Struthio camelus: one gene and its partners. The protein of the gene in region 2 purifies or fractionates together with the protein of the main gene of each other region. This does not show direct contact. Links are inferred from orthologs where the notes say so. Each region holds a gene or a part of one and is shown on either strand. Other genes may lie near its edges.

The links. Proteins that work in one complex are often made in the same cells at the same time.
Region 1: the proteins of YAP1 (region 2) and RPL7 purify together in Homo sapiens (affinity purification with mass spectrometry, with the first as the bait; 3 studies listed by BioGRID). This does not show direct contact. The link is inferred for Struthio camelus from reciprocal best matches to the Homo sapiens genes YAP1 and RPL7.
Region 3: the proteins of YAP1 (region 2) and LIN7C purify together in Homo sapiens (affinity purification with mass spectrometry; 5 studies listed by BioGRID and IntAct, with this or other methods). This does not show direct contact. The link is inferred for Struthio camelus from reciprocal best matches to the Homo sapiens genes YAP1 and LIN7C.

The regions. Positions count from the first base shown.
Region 1 is NC_090943.1:129,671,601-129,679,451, forward strand, and holds the start of RPL7 (large ribosomal subunit protein uL30), read left to right. Parts: upstream 1-4,846; 5' UTR 4,847-4,978; coding exon 4,979-4,992; intron 4,993-5,983; coding exon 5,984-6,086; intron 6,087-6,605; coding exon 6,606-6,772; intron 6,773-7,632; coding exon 7,633-7,770; intron 7,771-7,851. Other genes in the region: RDH10 (retinol dehydrogenase 10), read right to left, coding at 581-819, 1,154-1,436.
Region 2 is NC_090942.1:208,824,720-208,831,685, reverse strand, and holds the start of YAP1 (transcriptional coactivator YAP1), read left to right. Parts: upstream 1-3,952; 5' UTR 3,953-4,240; coding exon 4,241-4,558; intron 4,559-6,966. Other genes in the region: CFAP300 (cilia- and flagella-associated protein 300), read left to right, coding at 2,752-2,883. UniProt on the Homo sapiens protein: Transcriptional regulator with dual roles as a coactivator and corepressor. Critical downstream regulatory target in the Hippo signaling pathway, crucial for organ size control and tumor suppression by restricting proliferation and promoting apoptosis.
Region 3 is NC_090946.1:29,275,379-29,282,225, reverse strand, and holds the start of LIN7C (protein lin-7 homolog C), read right to left. Parts: upstream 3,006-6,847; 5' UTR 2,969-3,005; coding exon 2,932-2,968; intron 1-2,931. UniProt on the Homo sapiens protein: Plays a role in establishing and maintaining the asymmetric distribution of channels and receptors at the plasma membrane of polarized cells.

The sequences.
Region 1 (7,851 bases), on a different chromosome or scaffold from region 2:
AGAGAAAGCTATGAGGACAAATACACAGAATTCATGAAGAAGTGTTTTTGGCTTGTTTTCTTGAGAGTTTTTTTGCCTTCCCAAGGAACAATTTACCTCCAGGGCAACTCTACCAACATTTCCAGCAGGGTTTTTGGGTTTTTTTTTTTTTTTAAACAGAAATGTGTGAGCTCGCTATTGTAGCCATAATTAAAACAGCATCTTAAAGCTAAAAGATGAATTAAGACTACAGGGAAGGAGGAGGGGAGGGAAGTCATTCATTAACAGTAGCAACCTTTAAGCAGATTCAGAGGTTATGCTCGCAAAGGATTTCATACCCAGGGCTACATAAAATGGCATGAGATTTTATACTCTGGATTCTTTGAGGATATAGTTGATTAAAAACTAAAATGTAATAATTTTAATACCAACGACTCCTGTTAAACAGAATAATGCATTAAAAATGAGAAACCTGCAAAGTAGTGAGCTTGCAAACAAAAGGGAGCAAGTGCAAAACCAGGAAAAGAAGGAGTTAAGCAACACTAAACTTTTTTTCAAAATTAACTGACAAAAAGGTCAGCATGGAGGAGCGTATAGTTACCCAGAAGTGTGCGTGACAGTTCACCATCATGGTCCTCTCAATAAGCTCATCGGGACACTCCAAAAGATGGTGCCCGGAGACCACACCGGCATTGTTAACCAGGACGGAAACCTCGCCAACCTCTTTGCGGACCCTCTCGGCTGTCGTGTAGACATTTTCTCTTTTGCCCACATCGCAGGTGTACGTGTAAACCTGCAAGTTGCAGTGGGGCAGCGCTTCTTTTTCTCCATCTGCAGCTGCTAAGGAACACAGACAGGAGAACAGAGCAAAGTAAAACGCTCGCTCGGCTTTCAGCCTGCGGGACAAGTCAAACCGAGGAGTGGAAGCAGCAGACGCGTTTCCATTACACGACAGCCTCTGTTTACTTTGGTGTCACCACAGTCCGCCAGGACTCGCCTATTTACCACCGCTGCCAGAGCGTTGCGGGGGGGGGGGGGGGGTTGTTTGGTTTTTTTTGTTTCGAGGGGGACACCCAGCTCGGCCGTCCAAGCCGCCTGGGGCCGCTGCCGGCGAGCAAGTGAAGGGGTGGTTGGGGGGGGGGACCGGCGGCGGAGCCCCCAGCGGGCCGCTTACCTCCGGCGGCGGTCGCCTCGGCCAGCTGGCGGTAGATGTGGCGCACCATGCCGGCCGTCTCCTCGTTGCTCTGCGTGTTGATGTCCCAGAGCACCAGCAACGCCCGGCGGCGGGCAAACTCCAAGGCGAAGAGGCGGCCCAGGCCGCTGCCCGCCCCGGTGATGAGGCACACCTGCCCCGCCACGCTCTTCTCCTTGGGTCGCACCAGCCACTTGGCGGCGGCCAGCACGAAAGCCCAGAGCACTTTGAAAGTCACCACGAAGAACTCGAGCAGGATGTTCATGCTGGCGGCTCCCCCCCGCGGCCCCACGGGCGGCGTCGGCGGGTGCCTGCTCGCCGCCCGGCGCTGCACCTGGGGCCGCTCCCGCCCTGCCGGCCCGGGACCTCCCGCCGCGGCGCGGCGCGGGCAGGGGGAAGCGGGGAGAGCCGAGCGGCGCCGGGCTGGGCTCCCCCCTGCTCGCCGCTCGCAGCCCCGGCACCGAAAGCAAACGGAGGCGAAGCCCGAGCGAGCGAGCGAGTGCGAGCAGCGCCGCCGCCGCCTCGCTCCCGGCCCCTGTCACACACGCGAGGCCGCGCTGCCGCCTCCGGCAGGGGACGGGTCCCGCACCGCGGCGCCGCCGCTGTCGCTGCCTCGCCCCCCGGCCCGCACCGAGCCCGCCGCCCCTCTACTCGCAGTGAGCATCTTGGCCGCCCGCCGCGCTATATAGGCCGGGCTGGGCGGCGGGGACCTCCCCCGGGCGGCCCGGCCCGCCCCGCATTCCCGGGACCGCCACCCCCATCGCCGCCGTCCCGCCCCGACCCGCCTCCCCCGCCCGCGGCGGGGGTCCCGCCGCCGCGCCAGGCCGCGCCTGACGGGAGCGACGCGGCGGGTGCCGGGCGCCCCGTCACCGGCCCCGCCTGCCCGGCCTGGGCCGGGCCGCGCCGCTGCCCCGCGCCGCTCCGGGGCGTCCCGGCGGCGGCGGCGGCGGCGGCGGCGGCGCTGGGCGGGGCTGTGAGAGACCCCGCCTCCCGCCCGCGGCGGGCGGACTACATGTCCCAGGGTGCACAGCGGCCGCGCTCCGGAGCGCCATCTTGAGGGCAGCGGCCGCCGCCGCCGGGTGTCCTTCAGCGGAGCGGCGCGCATCCGCGGGACGGGTGGCGGGGCACCTCTGCGCACCGCCTCCGGAGAGAGCACATGCCGCAGGGCTTGTGATGCCGGAGTTTTGGTTAGGAGGGCGTGAAGAAGCGGTAAAGGGTCGTGCTTGCGCTGACAAGTGCGCAGAAGTTGCAGAAGGCCTGGGCGCGGCGGGGCGAGGCGATGTCCGCGGGAGTCCCGCGGCGGCCAGGAGGCCTCTCCCACACCTCGCCCCTAGCTCTGCCGGGCCGCGGGTTTCTCTGCTGAGCTGTGACGAGCAGTTGAACCAAACGCTGTTCGTTGTTTTTTTTATTTTTTTCTTTTTTTTGTCAGTCAGCCAAGTGTGGAGGCTATTAATATATAACTAACCACAGATTAAAATGAAAATTTAGCACTGCCACTGCCTTGCCCGAGATAACAAATCTCACGTTCTGGTGATTGACATGCTATGGCTCCCCCCCTCTCACTCAGCACCAGGAGCAAGCTGCTCCCCCATCACCTATCCGCTCCGGAGGACACGGAGCAGCGTGTGCCCTTGCTGTTTCCCACATATGGGTAATGCTCATCCAACTGCCTGCTTCTCCAGAGATAACCATCTGTAGATGTATGCCAAAGAGCACTATGCTGTGTTTTCCTGCTCTGTGCAGCTGCCAGCTTTCACAGAAGCTGTACGAACTTTGTATTTGTGAACATGGTCTCTGAGATTTAGCAGAAATTTGAGTTCAAAAGTTTGGGGGTGACAGACGGAACAAAGGAAAATGAACAAACTAATATATAATTGCAGATATCTATTTTCTAAAAAAAATCTGCTATGCCCACTAGAGAAAGTGCAGACAACGTCCTAACGTAGGTGTTTTATTGTACATTTGCTTGCTGCTAGATGTTAATTATCCTGTTTATTATAGTTTTAATCGGGTCTAGTGATATAAGCTTCTGTATTAGCATAAAGAAAGGGTACTTTGCAACACTTAACATTGCTCAAATACAAAAGTGTATCAATAAGTGGCTACTTATTCAGTGCTACCTAGCATGTTTCATGTTGTAAATAAACAACAGAAATAAATAAAACCAAGAAAATACAGAAATCAGAATTCATTATCCTCAGCCCAGCTATTTGTTCTATTTCTTAAGCTGGATAATTCTTTGCTTCTCCTAATTCCACGGATTTCCCTTCTTCTCATGCATACATAATCACGTTTCAAGACTCGTTCCCGCAGAGGTGATTTTAAGAACTTAAGTATGTTTTCCTAAGATGAGGACCCAAGAGTAGCCCCAAGAAGGCCATTAAGTAGTCTTTAGCAACAATCCAAATAAATAAAAGATGTCCTGTGACGAGCAGTTTGGTTAGCAGCAGTGCTTCCTTAACTCTCTTTTCATCTGGATCTACACAACTTTGTATGATGAGCTGAAAAGCAACACAACTTAAAAAAAAACCTAATACAAAGGTTACTTAAATTTTGCAGTCCCTAGTTCACAATATGACCCAGTAAAGAACTGTATAGTCGTTAACTTAGGGGATGACACGGAGTTGGGAACAGGTAAGCGGTTTGGTAGTTGTTTAAGTCAGCACTGCTGCTGAAATCAATGCTTCTCACACATGACTTGTTCCAGCGGCAGAAACAGAAATAAACGCAGGAAACTTGGACTCTCGTGCTGGAAACGCTTAAAACACATTGGAGTCCCTGGGATTAACAGAAGTAGTACAGTTAAGATTGCACATAAACATTAGCAGGTTTAGACCTTGCTTCGGCCTTTCTCCCGCTCTTCTCAGCATTTAGGCTGCCAGATTTTAAATAAAGAAGTACAAGGCGTCCCCCCGCCCCATGTCCCGTTTGCCATTTCGCACCCTCCTTCGGCAGATCCCGCAGCGATCGGTGTCTCCCTCGAGAGGGTGGCACCTCCTGCCGCCGTCCGCGTCCCCCCCTCGCCCCCTTCGGGCCCTGGGGACGCCGGTGCCACCCAGCCAGCCCTTACGAGCTGCCGGGGCAGGCCGTGAGCCCCGCGGCAGGCGAAGGAGCCAGCACAAGTAGCATTTCCCATATCTCGGCCTCAATCCCCCCCGTCTGTATTAAAAGCATACGGTGGAAGGTAATATCCCATATGCTTTTAATACAGGATACAGGATTTAAGGCTGAAATACGGGAAATCCTGTATTATGCGAAATGCCTCGCAACCCTACCACAGCCCCGACATAAAAGCACAACCAGGCTAGCTGCACACTCCATCCTGCATACACTACAACAGGCAACGCCGCACGTCTAATTAATGCCAAACTACCAATTACGACGGGGAAAAATAATTAACAAGAAATAGTTTTAGCAACTCTGAGAGGGTTATTTCCTCCTCTCCGCAGGCGCGGCGGCGCTGGCGCGACCCCCTCGCCGGCAGCAGCGCACGGTCCGGGCCGCCCTCGGCGCGGCTCCCGCTCCCGCCCGCTCGCGGGGCGCCCCGAGGCGCGCAGAGAGGCGGCGGGGCGCACCGAGACCCCTCTGATTTTTACCGCGGCTCCGCGCCGGGGGGCGGAGGGCGGCTCCGAGCCCGCTCGCGGCTCCGGCACTCCGCGGCCACCCCCTGCGCGCGCGCGCGCCGCGGCCAGGCACCGCCGCGGACGCCCAAACGCGGGGTCCTGCCGGTGCCCGCCGGGCCCTACCCGCGCCGCGCGCTAGGTGGGCGCTGCGCATGCGCGAGCTCTCTCTCTTCCGGCGCTGACCATGGCGGACAAGGAGTGAGTAGCGATTCCGCCCTGCCACAATCCGCCGCCATCGGCGGCCGCTGCCCCCGGCCCGCACCGCCCGGCGGCCTCCGGGCACGCTGCCGGCCGCCCCCGGCCGCCGGACCTCCGCCAGCGCCCGCGGGGGGCCGGAGGGGGCGATATGGGCGGGCGGCCTGGGGCCGGGAGCGGCGGTGACGCGGCCGCCGCCTGCCCCGTCGCGTCGGCCGAGGGCGGTTGCTGCCTCTCCTCGCCTCGCCGGGTAGGGAGGAGAGCTGGGCAGGCAGAGCCGGGCCCGAGCGCTGCTCCCTGGGCGAGGGACGCGGGGCGACTCCGTTCCTCCTGGCCTCGCAGGCGGGCGATGGGTAGCGTCCGCGCTCTGGTGCGCGCAGCGGTGCGTGGCCTGAGTGGAAAGCCGTGGCTGGGTGTGTACGTGGTGTGGAAGTTAGCGCGAGTTATTTCTCTCTGAATGCCGGTTTTGTAAATCCTGTAGTATACGCTGCTTACAGAATCCAGTCACATTAAATGCACGCATTCTGATAATCAGACTGTTATCAGCCTGATGCTCCCCTTAAACTACTGGTTGCAATGTTTGTTCATTGCTTTGAAAAATATTTGTTTGAAACAGACCTTTTCTGCTTATAAGCTAGAAAGTAACTAAATACTTTAGTCACTTGATAACTGCACAGTTGGTATTTTCTGGAGAAAATAAACCTTTGTAGGTGCCCAGAAATTGCACTGTGATGTACCCTGGTGTGCAGCTCAATGGCCAGTCGGTCAAATTTCCCAGTCTTTACGTAAAAGATGCTCTTTGGAGGTTGCATTAAGGTCTTGAATAACTGGCAATAGAGAGAGTACAAGGAAGATGCAATAATGAACTAGGGCAACACGGTGAAGCTTGCGTATGCCTTCTATTAAGGACTTACTTACAGTGGTGTTTGTAATGTGTTACTTCTACTTGGTCTGAAGAAAGTAGGTTTTAAAGAGTCTTTTTCTTGTAACTTAGAGCAAAGAAGGTGCCCTCCGTTCCGGAAAGCCTCCTGAAAAAGCGGCAGGCTTATGCAGCTATAAAAGCCAAACGTCTGAAGAGGCTGTTGGCTCAAAAGAAGGTGAATATTTCTTGTCTTTTTGTATGCATTGATTATCTGTTCTGTAGGCAGATCAGTGGAACACTACTACAGATATGAAGTAGTAGAGAAATGTTTTAGGTCTGGCAAGTTTGGGGTTTTGTTTGTTTTGGAGTTTTTCTTTAGCATTTTGGTGTAAAACATGGACCAAATAAAAAAGAAAATCCAAATAGCGCGTAACAAACTAGTTGTGGGCAGAGTGAATGCCATGTGTGCAGGTGTCTATAAAAATAAAGGTAGTTGGTTACAAGGCAGGAGGTTGCAGCCTTTGTGAGAGTAAGCATGGTGTATGAAAATACCCTGTTTGATGTAAGGTAGAATTACTGTGCAGTAGAGACCTGTTTCTCTAGAATATTACTGAAAGTCATTCTGAGTCCCATCATACGGGCAGATGTTCCCTTACTGTGTGTTATTTGTGGGGCGGATGCTACGCTATTTGAAGCTAACTTTCTTGTGTTAAAAGGCATTATGTAATCTTAAGTAACTTTCCACTAATTTCAGCTTCGTAAGGCACAAAGGAAACTCATCTATGCAAGAGCCAAAGCTTACCACAAGGAATACAGGCACATGTATAGACAGGAGATCCGTATGGCCAGGATGGCCCGAAAAGCTGGAAATTACTACGTACCAGCTGAACCAAAGCTGGCCTTTGTGATCAGGATAAGAGGGTAAGACTTCATATGGATGGAAACACTTGCTTTTATTTGTCTGCTTTAAGGGCTTACATCAGCAAGTTTGCTGATGATACTAAACTGGGAGGAGTGGCTGGCACACCAGAAGGCTGTGCTGCCATTCAGAGGGACCTGGACAGGCTGGAGAGGTGGGCGGAGAGGAACCTCCTGAAGTTCAACAAAGGCAAGGGCAGGGTCCTGCACCTGGGGAGGAATAACCGCAGGCACCAGTAAAGGCTGAGGAAAGCAGCTCCGCAGAGAAGGCCCTGGGAGTCACCCTCAGCAACTCTATGCCTTCATCCAGGCCATTGATGAATGTGTTAATGCTGGGCCCAGTACTGTCAGATATGTGCCAGAGAATGATTTAATTATTAAACGTAAAAATTACTATGTTGGGCATGTCTTCCTTAGGAATAACTGGTTAAAAACAAACAAACAAACAAAACTGCAAATATGTGAGGCAATTGTTGTGTTTCACCTTAAGCTTGATAAAATTATGTACCAACACACAGTAACATTACTAAGTTTGCCTCGAGTGCTTGGTTAAGGGTGTTCTAGGAAAGTCTTCAAGGAAACTAAGGGAAGACGTGGTTGCAAGGATAGTTAGTTCTAAATAATTTGTTTCAGTGGATTCCTTATTTAAATTCTTTTCTTTAAGTTAGATCTGGCGTAAGCTTACTACTGAAATACGTAGTGATAGTACATAATAACTTACTAAACTGTTTTCCTGTAATTCATAGGATGGCGATGCATTTAAGATGAGAACGGTATTGCTTTTTTAATCTGTTAGTGCTTTGATGATACTTTAGTGTATTCTGGGATGTAGACAATTAAAAGAGGCTCTCTGTGCTTTCTAGTACCAATGGTGTTAGCCCCAAGGTCCGTAAGGTATTGCAGCTTCTTCGCCTGCGTCAGATTTTTAACGGCACGTTTGTAAAACTCAACAAAGCTTCTATCAACATGTTGCGGATTGTTGAACCCTACATTGCCTGGGGGTGAGTGAAATAGTTTTATCAAATCAGGGTGCAGGTGTTCACTGCATCTTGCACTTTGCTACACTAGATTTGCATGTCTTC
Region 2 (6,966 bases):
GGTTTAGGCTGTGGCTAAGAAGACCTTGTTTAGGAAACAATATTAAAAAAAAAAAAAGCCTATTAAAATCAGATAATATAGAAAGATGAAGCTGGCTGTCATCATCAGTATACCGAAAATTGTGTCTCATGCCTCTTTTCTAACAAATCTGTTTCCACAGATACCTATCTCAATAGTGTGGGCGTGTCAAAATCAGTGGTGGAAACTGATCTCATCTTTGAAAGTGCTATTGTATGTTTAAAAAACAGCTTCAGGGCAGTTTTATTGTTTCAGTAGTAAGATCTCTTAATCTAAATATTTCAAGGTATAAGGGTTCATTTATCTGTTTCTGCAGATCTGTTAGTATCAAAACTCTGTAGACCAGGGCATCTCAAGAGAAATTTTAAGTTATGTGACCACAAACTGTTGAACTCCAAGCTTCATAGCTTACATATAATGAATCTTCATTAAATCTGAGGTATTTGGATATTAATTGGTATTTTAGAACTTTCTTTACCTGAACCTTAACTGTAACAGTGTTAGAAATCTCTGTAATAAATAGTTTATGCACAAAGTCTTTTTAAAAACTTATTGATAAAATAATGCGTTTTTAAAGATGTTCAATGTATCTTTCTTCATTACGCTATGCATTTGTACTCTTGAAATCTTCGGCTGAATATCTATGTTCTTGTAGAAACAAATTAAATTGATCCCACTCTGGCATCAGTAAATCAAGGAAGTGTTACACCAACTCCACATGTTTGAACCAAAGTTCAAGCTGGTTAGATTCATGTTTTATTACTCTATTACCTATTACTCTAAAGACAAGAGTAACCCTATGTAAGTTCCGATGGTTTTATGCTGAAGTGTTTTAGTTTTTCTTTTTAAACGACCTTTTTACTGACTAAAATTAAAGAACCTTCCCCCTTACCTTAAATGATATAATATTTATTTTCCTGCTGTCAAGCTTGGTATATTGTTGAGTTTTTTGAAATGCCATGCCACCACAACTTAGCTTGCTTTTTTTCGTGTTTTGTTCGGCAAACTTTCGGTGTGCTGTCACTGCTTTTAAACGGTCAAAAACTCAACTTACGTTGGTTGATTCAGTAAGGACTGCAGACATGGGATTTCTAATAGCAATGGGAAATCAGTTTAATTAACACTCACATTTTGATGTTGGTCTTCTCTTCCTTTTTGGTGGGCTTAGGTTATTTTTGTATGAAACTCCAAAGACATTGTGATGCTGAGTACTGTAAAACGCAACTTAAAGCTTGCTCTCTTTAGTGAAACTGAGAATCCAGTGTTTCATGCACCTGAATCCCTATACAATGCCTGAATGTAGCTAGATGTCTTAAAAATGGAGCCACAAAGCTTGTATGCTGTGTTGCTTAAAACAGAATACTATTTTTAACTTTCTCTATTTCACTGTTATCAGAAAATAATGAGAATAAATGTATCAAATCTCTGCCTCTCTTAAACAATGCTTTTAGGGAGTTGCTTATCTTAATTTAAGATTTATGGTCTTGAATAATTCCTCAAAGGAAGAACATGTAGTATGGAATTCATTATCTTCTAAATAACAGGAGAGAAATTTGGGTGCTGATAACAGCCACTGGATAAAATTCACAAATTGTCCCTGGACCAGAAAATGGAAACGAGGTCTTTTCCCTCCAAGTTGACTGCCTTAGCCACTAAGATAGGGTGTTAAGAGTTTTCATGATTCCTTGGTCCAGAGAAAGACGGATTCTGCAGAGTAGAAGAGCTTCAACAGAAGAATGAGAGAGATGTGCTTCTAAGCTGGAATACTGTGTAGTCTGGGAATTTAAAGTTTTCCTAGAGGAAAAAAGGACACTATATGCAATATGGGAATTTACTCTAGTAAAAAAGGGAACAGAATTTACATATCTTCTAATACTGTGTAAAGTTGTAGGGAGCAGAAGGAAGCAGTTACCTGTTTTAAAAGAAAGGAGGTGTCTGCTACATGCTTGTTCATCTGTTAGATGTTCAATTACAAGACTGAATGCATCAAAAAAGAAGACATCTAATTTCTGAATCCAAGTAGGATTTGAGGCGGGTGACCAGCTTTACTGCTCTGTCAAGACTAAAGCTTTTATTGATATGTGCAGAAGTAGGATGTTAATTTGAAGAACCTAGTTTTCATAGTGTTGGTTGTCAGCTGAGTGTAGTTTTTGGAATGAGAAATTTGGAGTTCAGCATCTAAATTCTGTTAAAGCACTTTGTGAGAATTAGCAGACTTTTAAATAACATTTTGAAGATGTTAATAAGAGCTAGAAAGAGAGTTTTTCTTAGACACAAATATTGGAGACTGAACAGATGCATTAACAAATGTTAAGTGAAAAAGAATTATTGATAGAACAACTTTTGTTATTAATATATAGTTCCTAAATATTTTTCTATTTCAAAGGACACATGATTGGGTCTATGTATATTTAATCGTCTATATTTTAGGCTCTAATTATATATTCATGTGCTTACATGCTTAATTTTACATTTGCAATGGATTTTACATTTCCATTCAGGGTATTGGCACTGTTCAGACGGCTAGAGCTACTTACGTCCGTGTTGTAATGTCAGGACCTTCAGGGGAGATGTGATAAAACTACTTAAATAAACTCCGGTGTGTTTGTTGTGTTATGCCATCAAATAAATTGTTACAACTGAAACAGAATGATACATTTTATTCAAATTGTATGAATATGCTCATTGGTATCCATGTTGTCATTAACAGTTTCTTTTTCCTCTTCCTCTCAGGATGAGAATGGCCTATGTTATCCTTCAAACAAAAGCCATGAACAGACATTTGCCTATTTGATTGTGGACCCTTTCAAACGACACGTCCATACGTTGTATCATTGTTTTGGTGGAAGCTTCTTTGGAACCTAGTTTATTAACCTGGTTGTTCCCAAATTTTATAATAGAGGTGTTGCTCTTTCTGCATGAATTCAAGTAGAAGTCGCACGGTTTTCTTAGGAGGAAGCATGTACTCCTTCATTACACAACCTCTGAGTGGTTACATGTTTTATATCGCTGTTACTGTGCGGTTAGCGAAAAAAAGTTTTGTATAATTTTTGACTAGTTTATTTTTAGAGGAATACTTTCTGAAGCTGTTTGCCCGATAGTTGTGCCCCCTCTTCCCTCACCCGCGTTATCTAATAAACGGCATTTCTCAACATGTCTCGTCCCTGTTTATAAACCCTTTCAAGATCCGCGACGCATAAAGTCAAGGAAGGGGAGGCTCCGGAGTCAGCGAAATCTCGGCGGCAGTGGGAGAAAGTGCGTCAGCCGCCGCCGCCGCCGCGCTGCCCCCGGCTCCCCGCGCCCGCTCGGCCCCCGCGCCCGCCCGGCGGCGCCGCCAGGTGAGCGGGCGGCGGCGGCAGCCGCAGCCCCCGGCCGCCCCCTCGCCCCGCGCGGGGCCGCCCGTGCCCGCCCCGAGCGCCGGGGGCGCGGCCCCCACCCCCGGGGCGGCGGCTCCCGTCCCCCGCGGAGGCGCCGGGGTCGCTCCCGCTGCCGCTCCCCGGGCCGGGGCCGGGCGGGGGAGGGGAGGGGAGCCGCGCCGCGCCGCGCCGCGCCGCGCCGGCCGCTCTCCCCCCGCCCCTGGCGGAGCGGGCGCCCCTGGAAGTTGGGATGAAACTTGCGGGAGGGGGAAAAGTTCTGGTTGACTGAACTTCTTCGCGGCAACGCAGTGCGGGCGGGCGCCAGTGGGAGAAGCGCCCCCCGGGGGCCCCGGAGGGCGCGGGGAGCGTCTTAGGGGAGTGGGGGTGAGCCCACGCGCGTCTCGGCGCGCACCGGCGGCCGGCTGCGCGCGCGGGGGGGGCGGGCAGCACCCACGGCGCGGGGCGCCGGCGGCGGTGCGGGCGGGCGCGCGCAGGAGAGCCGCTCGGCACAGGCTGCCTCCGTCCGAGACGGTGCGGTGCGGGCGGGCTCAGGAGGGGCGGAGCTGGCTGTGGAGAGTGGTTCGGGCGGGCGTAACTCAGAACTTTTGTTTGGCGTGTTGTGTGAGTTAGTTTCCGCCGCCGGGACAGAGGCGCCGGCCGGGCTGGGCCGGGCTCGGGGAAGTGCCGCACGGCCAAAGTTGTTTTGCCAGTTGCTGCTGCCGGGTTGATTTCCCCGCTGAGGGGTAAGGAACACCAGCGAGAGCAGGACGAGCCGCAGCCCGGGGAGCGGGGCATGCGGGGCTGGGAATCGGGGCTCTGAGTCGCCGAGCCCCGCCAGGGAAGCGCCGGGGGGTCCCGCCGGAGCCATGGATCCCGGGCAGCCTCAGTCACAGCAGCCGCCGCAGGCAGCGCAGCCCGCGGCGCCGCAGCAGGCGCCGCCGCAGCCCCCCGGCGCGGTGTCGGGGGCCCCGGCCGGCGCGGCGCAGCCCCCGGGTGCGGGGCCCCCTCCGGCCGGGCACCAGATCGTCCATGTGCGGGGCGACTCGGAGACCGACTTGGAGGCGCTGTTCAACGCCGTGATGAACCCCAAGGGCGCCAACGTGCCGCACACGCTGCCCATGCGGCTCCGCAAGCTGCCCGACTCCTTCTTCAAGCCGCCCGAGCCCAAGGCCCACTCCCGCCAGGTGAGGGGGAGGGGGGCCGCCCGGGCCGGGCCGCGGAAGGGCGGGCGGGCGGGCGGCGGTGGCGGCGGCCGCCTCCCCCCCGCCGCGGAGCTCCTCCCGGGGGAGGCGTGCGGGGGAGGGGGGCCGGGGCCGGGCGGGAATCCGCCCCTGCCGCGCGGCCGGGCCGAGGGGAGGGGGGCGCCGAGGCCGGGACTCCCGTGGGGGAGGGGGGGTGGGTGTCGCTCCCTTTCTTCCTCCGGCTGCCTTGTGGGGGAGTCCTGCTCCCTCCTCTTCCTCCTCCCCCGCCTTATTTGTTCTTCACAGAGTGTTGCGGGGGGGGGGGGGGAAAGGGAAGGGAGGCGTCGCGCGGCTCCTCAGGGCGCTGAGGGGGAGCCGGCCCCGCGGCGGGGCGGCCGTTGGTGACCGTTGGCACCAGCCCGGCCCGGCCTGGTCCGTCCCGGTCGGCGGCGAGGCCTCCGGCTCCACATCCGCTGGGCGTCGAGCCCCGTGGCTGCTCTCCGGGTCTGACCGGAGCGGGTGGGGGGAGCGGGTGGGGGGAGCGGGGCCCCCGGCACCGCTGGTGGAAGCGCTTTGCTGGGAGGACCGGCCGCGCGGATTGCACTTTCTGGCCTAATCCGGCGGCGCTCATCCGTCCCCGTGGGGGAGGGGGCTGCGGAGGCCGTGCCCCCCCTCCCCTCCCCTCCCCTCCCCTCCCCAACATGGATGTAGATTTTCCACCATTTCATCACTGCGCCGGGCTGGGCAGGAGTCGTGCCCCCCCCCCCCTTCCCCCGTCAGAGTGAGTTCCGGAGCCCGGCGCTTTCTGTGCGTGTGGGTACCTTTAAGTCTGGCTGTGTCGAGGGTCCATTAAATTAACCGTCGGTGCGTTGGGCAGACATGATGTGAAAGCTTAAATCTCGGGGACCTGAACGGACACGAGAAACTGGTCTGCCGGTTTGCAGTGCAGGCTGAGTAGGAGATGCAGGATAGGGCCAGCGCCGAGGCACTGCTAGCGTTTGATCTTCTAGCAGAGTGACTTTTGTGCCAAGACCGAAGTGTTGGTGCAAGTATGACTGAAAGTTAATGTTTAGGCTGCTACTGCCAACTTTTTGGAAGGAGGTTGTTCCTACTGGAGTGTTTTTATTAAGTAATGAACTTTGTTGCTAAGCTATAAAATAGGTTTTATTATTGGCTATTGTCACTTTATCTATGTAGCCAGTAGGAGTGAAACTTGCTCTGTGTACTGGTGCCTGGTACTCTTGTTGTTAAGGGTCTGTCAACATTTCCATTATTAAACTTCTGTTTTGAAGGATTTATAACTTGGCTTCACAAGTTTACTCCAGGCTGAACCTTGGCACATACTCTCTTAGGCTAGGAGTTAATTCATTTTCCAAATACTCGAAAACCAATCTGGCCTTTATATTGTAAGACCGAAAACAAAATAGAAAGAGGTGGGACTGAGTTGCTTCTGTATTTTTGTTTGCTTCTGAGTTGCCAATCTTTGAATTGTTGAATAAAAATCATATCGTTTCATCAGCATTAATAACATGCTGAAATACACTGAGGAATAGTGCAGTTATTACATAGCTTTTACTCAAGTTATGCAAGTTTTATCACAGTTTGATTATGCACGGCGCTGGTGTAAGTTCATCTACTGCTTATTGCTGTGTCCTGTTAAATACAGTGAGTGCAGCTAAATGGCTCTTGTATTTGAAATGCATTTAACTTGTACGACGTTCATACACCATGTACTTTTAAGCTTAGGGTTATCTCGCCTGTATATATTGCTCTACATCCGTAATGCATACGGCTTAGTTGGATCACTGTTTCTTGTACCAGTTGGTGGTTGTTAAAATATAAACTTAAAAATCCAGCTGAAAGTAGAAAATCATTTATTTCATTGTTGACTCTCTTTTAAAAAGTCAGGCTGTCTTAATTTTCCTTTTTTGTTCGTTAGTGCCATAGCGATATTCTGCCTAACAGAAAGGGTCTTTAGGTTTCTGTAATTCTTTCTCTCTGTTTCTCAAGAATAAAAGCACCTCACGTTCAAGTGAATTGCAACTTGTGCATTTTATTAAAATCTAAGCTAATTCTTTGAAATACGTTTCCAATTTCATATATGAAACTTTGTACTCACATACAGGCTTAATGAAACAGAAATGTCAGTCTCCATGAGAATACATAAATGGGGCCTCGTGTATGGTGCAATACCTTGTGTAGAGAGGTGTGGCAATGGCTGATATATGCAACTTATTATAGGTGTCCATGTTGTTCTGGTGTATCTGCAAAAAAGAATTAATTTATGAATATATGTAAAAGTCAGCCTTATTTGAACTCAATTTTCAAAGCTGCTTTTCTGTTCTGTGGTGGACGCCTATCTGCTGACGAAGTAGTTCTACGTAGTTATGACTGGCAGCTTTCTGGTGAGG
Region 3 (6,847 bases), on a different chromosome or scaffold from region 2:
TGCACGAATTGGATGCAACTAAACCAGAAGATGCACTTGCACCATTAATGAGCATTCAGATCAAAGGACCAGAACATTGCTGAGAAGTAAAAAACCAAAGCAGACACACAGAATAGGAAAGTTGGGTACTCGGCACTCTACAAATTGGCTTTTAACACAGTGCTTCTCTTGATCAGGTAGGTATAGACAACGGATCCCATTAGCAGCACTTTCTCCCCCCAACAGTTACTTTGTTTTACCACCTTAACAGGACCTAGTTATACTAGTTTGAAAGTGAAACGAGCATAACTTTCTCACACCAAACTAATGCAGCAATGCAATGCTAATCAAAAGCTGAAGACTCACTCTGTCTCAATGCTCTACTGCTTTGGAAAGGAACTAGCCAGCTGGGAAAAGGCGGTAAAGTATCTTCTTCTTACAGCTGTGCACAGAGAACAAAAGAAAGGGATGCCAACAGCTCTGTTGATCTCGCCTGCTTCCTCCTGAACTACTGCTTGGGATATGATCAGCTGATAGCTTTCTTCCTCATTATATTAACACTATAGCTTGGCCAACTGTTCAGAACCAGAGACTGAAATGAACACTACAGATTTCTTGTTAAAATCCTTCAAAGCCAGAAATGATGCAAAAATAACTCCAGAGGTAGGTGATAAAAAACATAAAACTCATTGTAAAGCTCAACTCACACATCATTTAAAAATGGATTTTCTTTGAACCTTTTCCTCTTTTTTAAATTAGTTGCCTGTTCTTCACAAGTTTAGTGACCACAAGATACCAGATTGAAGTGCTGACAGGAAAACACACTTAAACCAAGAACGTGGAAAACCGGCAAAATGCCTCCACTCTGCACATGCATACGTATGAACAAAACATAGAAAGGAGGAAAAACGCAACATCAGACATTGCATTGTTAGACATTGCTAAATAACCACTTCTGCTGCTTCTGTTCAAATAGTCTGCATTCCTAAGGTGTATGTCGATTTATCATATATATCACTAAGCTAAAAGAACAACTTCAAAACGTTAAATGTTGTTTCATCGCTTCACTCCCGTGAACCTGGGTGGTGGTGGCTGTGATACAGCTTAGAGGAAAGAACAGAAGGGGAGAATCTTCATTTGCCCTGATAGTAAGCATATGGTAACCACTTTAAATCAGCACATTTTCTACGGTAGCCTCTCTTTTCTTATGCTATACGCCAGCAACATTAGTAATGCTCATTTTCATGCTGACAACGATTCATAAGGTTATTTGCAGTCAACCCCATAGAATTAACAGAGGTTGTTTATTTCTGTAAAGAAAGCGCTTACTTCTGTAGCTTCATTATACAGACATTATACTGTAGTCCCTTTTTCTTCTTTTCTCCAAAAGACTAACGTGCCAGAAGACTTTAAATAGCTCCTTTGTTCCATTGATCCCTAAGTAACTGCACAGATTTGTTTTTCATGCGTAGAGCATAGTGGCAGGGTAATGAGGTGGACAGGGATGCTGCCTGAGGTTTAACTCAGCAGACCTACCAAGAGCAACTAATCCACCGCCAAAGCAGCTGCTCTAATTAACAAGCTTTGGAGGAGGGAGGGTAGATAAGCTGTGGAGTGGGAAGTAAAGTTCTTACATAAGTACTGTACTATTTACAGACCTTCCCTCACACATTACAAGTGATTTACTTGTGGAACAGTAAGGAGAGGAGACAAACAGAAGAACTGAATTCTGTGGTGAGTAACACTTAACAGTATCAACCACAAAGAAGTGGGCATATAAAATATGTAGTTACACATCCATACAGAAGCATCTAGAATGCTGAGCAAAGATGGTGGGCCCAAAGGGAACGGCAATGGGAAAATAATCAATTCAACTAAGTCACCTACACTTCATATAATTGCTTTGCTTTTCAAGAATAGAATTCTTGATTCTCGTTATTCTTTTAAAATTCCATATTCCATTCACTATTTTTACATACATCCTAATATACCAGTCATATATACTGCTTATACATGGATGCCCTCACAGAGCTCCTGTGGGCTTGGCACAATTCTGAAGAGCCATACTGAAGGGAATTTATTATTGCTTCATAGAATGCTGGATAAGAGACACAGACGTGTACTACAGAAGAAACAGACAATTCAGTTTTGGATTTTATCTGCTTCTACTTACATACTACACAATATCAGCAGTACAACTTAGCACTGAAAACGACAAGGTCAGGCCAAAGACAGAAACATGAAAGTGTAAAGAGTTAAGCAAAATTCATGACCAAATGTTTTGTTTGTTCATGCAAAGTTTCCTGTACAAAAAAAAAAAAAAAACAAGGCCTGCTGCTAAGACACAGTGCAGTAAATTAAACTCAAGAATTTAGCTTTGATCAAGAGTAAACAATCCAGTGGAAAAGGCAGAAACAAGGAGTCAGCTGGTCGCGTAAATTGCTGGCGGAAGTTTTGACCCCAGCGAGGGCGCTGCACACACGCACCTACAGCCGGTCGGGGCGAGGGCCGGCGGAGCGCCCGCCGCCACCCGCTCACAAGCCGAAGCCCAGCAAGAGAAAAACCCTCGGCGCCTGCCGAAAGAAAACGCCAGAGAAGCGAGACCAACCCACGCAGGCACGGAACCGGCACCGAGAGAAAACACTTTCAAGGGCCATCTGCTGCCCGGCTGCCCCCTCGCCGCCTCCAGGGCGGCGCAGACCCGCCCCGCACAGCGCCGGGCCGGGCCGGGCCGCCACCGCCATCCCGCGGCCTCGGGCCGGCCGGGCGCGTCCCTGGGGCCCGAGACCGAGAGAGACTGCCCCAGCTCGGCAGCGCCAGGCCCAGGCCCAGGCCCAGGCCCAGGCCCAGGCCCAGGCCCAAGTAGCGGCGGACCGGACCGGACCGGACCGGACCGGACCGGACCGGACCGGACCGGACCGGCCGCGGCAGCAGAGCCGGGAACAGACTCACCTCGCTCCAGCCGCACCGGCTCGCCCAGCGCCGCCATCTTCTCCTCACGCCGGCTTCCGCGGAAGTGACGCAGCGCCGCGGGGCGGGGCGGGGCGGGGCGGGGCGGGGCGGGGCGATGCCCCGCAGGGGGCGCCCTGGCCCCGCCCCGCCCCGCCCCGGCGCGTGGCCCTAGCGGCTGCCGGGCGGCGACGCCGGGCGCCATGTTGGGAGCGGTGAGCGCTCGGCCCGTTGCGCGGCCGTTGCGCGGCCGGCTGGTGAGCAAGGGGAGGCAGCCGCCCCCCCCCCCGCCGGCCCCGCAGCCTGCCTAAAGCACAGAGCAGCGCGGCGGCCGCGCATCTGCCGGGACCTGTCCTCCCCCCCACCCCCCGGCCTTTTCTGTTGTGGTGTTGTACGCCCGGAAAGCCCGGGGCGGGGGGCTGCGCACCTAGAGCGGCCGGCGGCCGGGCGACGTCGGCCCGGGTGCGTTCTGCCTTTTTTGCTTTGAAAGAGACTGGTTCTGCTCGGTCAGCCACAGGTCTTAAAAGCGGCAGCCGAGGTGACAGGGATGTACTCTCCCTGCTGTCTGTGATTGATTTGGATGCCAGTGCCCCTCCGTGTGAAGGATGCGGTGTGCGCGTTTCGGTGAGAAGGTCACACGAGTGGGAGTTTCACAGGTGGACAGCATTAAACCCGTTTCCAGCGAGAAAAAATGCTTTAGCAGCTGGAACCGTGGAAGGTGTAGAGTGTTTCTGGAATGAAACCCAGATGTTGGTGCCCCAGTGGTGTAAGAGCTACCATCCTGCTCCAAGTGATCGACACCTTAAACAGCCTGTTCTGGACAGATGAGCCCAGGGAGAAAATGAGTTTTAGGCAGCGTTTCTATAATCTAAGGCTTTTCCAGAAGGCACATGACAAGAATAAATGTATCTTTGGAGTAGCGTCGTTTTGACTTCAGTAAAGACTGAAGATGCAGAAGTAAAACAGCTGGTCTGCTTTCCTCTAGACCCACTGAACTGGACAACGGACTGTCATTCAGACCTTTCTGCTCTGAAATACAACGTTATGAGAATAATAAAACCTGAAAGCAAATTTTATATCGTGTTTCCACTGTCTGCATCATAGCCCCATCCAACTCAAACGTTTTGCTCCAGCAATCTGCACTGAGTTATAGCTGCACACTGGTGAGCTGTAGGGGAAAAAAAAGGAAGAAGTAGTTTGGGTTTTTGGTTTATGACCTGTGAAGAGCGTTGCTAATTGAATACTTGCTTATCATTGTTTGTCCTTTGTTCCCAGAAGGGAACTTGCTGTCTCTAAACATTTTTTACTTGAGAAAGTTAGGTCTTTACACTAGAAGCTCTGTGGATAGCAGGAAGACTAGCGGAGTTACAGTCTTACAAAATAATGGAAAAGAAACAATTGAAGCAACTGCTTATTCTTTTGGGGTATTTGCTTTTTCACAACACCTGTGGAGCTCAACCAACTGAAAACTATGCAAATGAAATAAAGCTATGAAATGAAATTTGACATTGCTGTCCCTTTTAATAAAAAGGCTAAAAGTTGGTGTGTACACTTCTTCCATGTCCTGCAGGAGAACCGAAGAGTGACAGGCTTGATATTCCCCTGGAAGAAGAAATGGAATGCCAATGGAGGACCACAAAGGAGGGGAAGAAAATAAAAGAGCAGACTATATAGAAAAAGAAAAAAGCATATATACCCATTTACTTTTTCCTTTCTGAGGTAACATTCAGCACATTTTTTCCAGACTTCGAGATATTTGCAACAGGGTCCAAGTTAAAAAGCTAGGCATTGTTATGGCAGAGTTATTTTAGTGCATCAAGGAAGTAACCACTGTATAAGTCATAAGTCTGATCCTGCCCCAAAGAAGAGAATGAGTTTAACTACTGAGTTTATAACATGCTATGTTTTGCTCAAGAAAAAGAAAAAGCATAGGTGGATACTGACAGCTTCAAAATTTATGTGACAAAATATTTGTGCCATCCTAGTCTTGAAATCCCTATTCTGGCAAGAATTTGGAAGAAAATCAAAGCAAATAGCATATCATCAAACAATACAGAACAGCAAATGAAAATTTCTGTGTCAAACTCTTATCCTGAAATACACTACAGGTCTCAGAAGTGATTCCCAAAAGGGGGGGGAGGGGGTACTCCTCCTGAATAACTAAGAAAAGGTATTTGCACAGGAATGACTGAGATGCAGGCAAGATGTAAACATTACATTTCACTTTATATATTTTGTTAGCTATAAACTTCACTGTAGGCATTTTGCTAACTGTAAGTATAATTCAATTACTATTTTAGACTCCGTTGGCTGTGTCATTCTTGCTTGTGAAATCTCTGTCAGGGTTACTGTACTTATATCCTCATTGCTGAATGAACCGGAGTGTTAGCAGCTGCACTTTAAAGCTGTATGAAACATTCACGCTGCAATTTGTAGTATTTGTCAGTAACACTTCTGGGAGCAGACACGTCCTGCAGGTCTTTTGTGGATGCGGTGACACTCTAGAATTGCTGTTGAAGGAATATCAATACTCGAGTGATTTTGTCTATGTCTTTATTGGAAAATAGTTGCATTACTAGTCCAAGAAAAAGTGGGAATCGGTCTCTAGTGTGAGCTAGCTTGGGATGAAAGCACAGTTTACTTTAGGTGAGAAGAGGTTTTGGTGCATGAGTAAGAGGATGAGCTTTCTTTATAAATTACTTAATTCATAAGTTCTTAATAATATTTTTATGACAGTGTCTACAGCCATGGCCATGGGGCCATTTTATTCTAGGTGTTAGACATAGGCAGGTGGATAGGGAGTGCAGATACTAAAGGACATCTCCAGAATTAGCTAGGGAAAAGGCAGGAAGAAGAGTGGTTCAAGAACTTTCTCACTTTCATTCAAGCTTTATCTGGGGTGCAGAGTTCACGCTCGAACTTCTCATGAGAAAGAGGTACTATTTACAGCAGTGCAGCAAGACGTTCTCACAAACAGCTCTCGTGGATATTCTGATTCAAGAGTAGCTTGGTTTGGTTTAGCTTAAATACTTTTTTACTAAATATGCGCTAAACCAAAAAAGCCATGAAAATGGGAATAAGAAAGTGCCTGTGCATTTGTTCCAGTGCAATTCTATCAGTGCAAACTTATGTCTTAGTTATACTGGAAAATTATTTTTCATGTGTATAGGCCTATGCTTGTGTGTTTATGGGACCATTCCTCAGGGGCCTGGTAGATAATATTTTCCTTTTCATCCCAATGGTATGTGTTAGCCACAAGGAGGGACTGTAAGAATCTTTAGAGGCTATAGAAAACATTGGAACATGGTATTCTAATATTTTATGGTCCCAATAACATCTTTAGAAGAGTAACTGTGCTAATTGGTGCATTGTTTTAATGCACAGATGGTACAAATTCCACACAGACAGTATTTGTATATTTATTTTCACACGCACTTGGCCAAGAATGATCTCAAAGCACTTTAAACATTATTAGGCAAATGTTAAGTCAAAACTGAAAGGAATTTTGCTTGAATAATTATCTAACTAGTTGCTCAAAGGTAGTTTGTGGCCCGTTACTCTAGGGGGAGCTGACAATTGCGTAACCCAATACACCAATGAGGAGAAAAAAATTTTGGCCAGAAATGGGTAGCGGGACGCAATACTCACTTACAAAAATTGCAGTGGAATCTCTGCTGCCCACAGAGAACAATGTCTGCCTTGGAAACCTGACAGGCCGAATTAACCATGATAGGACTTTTATTTATGATTCAGGACAGTGAAGAGAGTCCAAATTCAATTTTTAGGTTATTAAGATATCCCTTTGCCTCAGGACTACCATGTTGGTAGAATTTTATTGCTTTAATACCACTGAATTTAATCACTTTAAATCTGACAGTTGTATTAGTATTCGCAATTTCAGCAATGCCTTAATTCATTG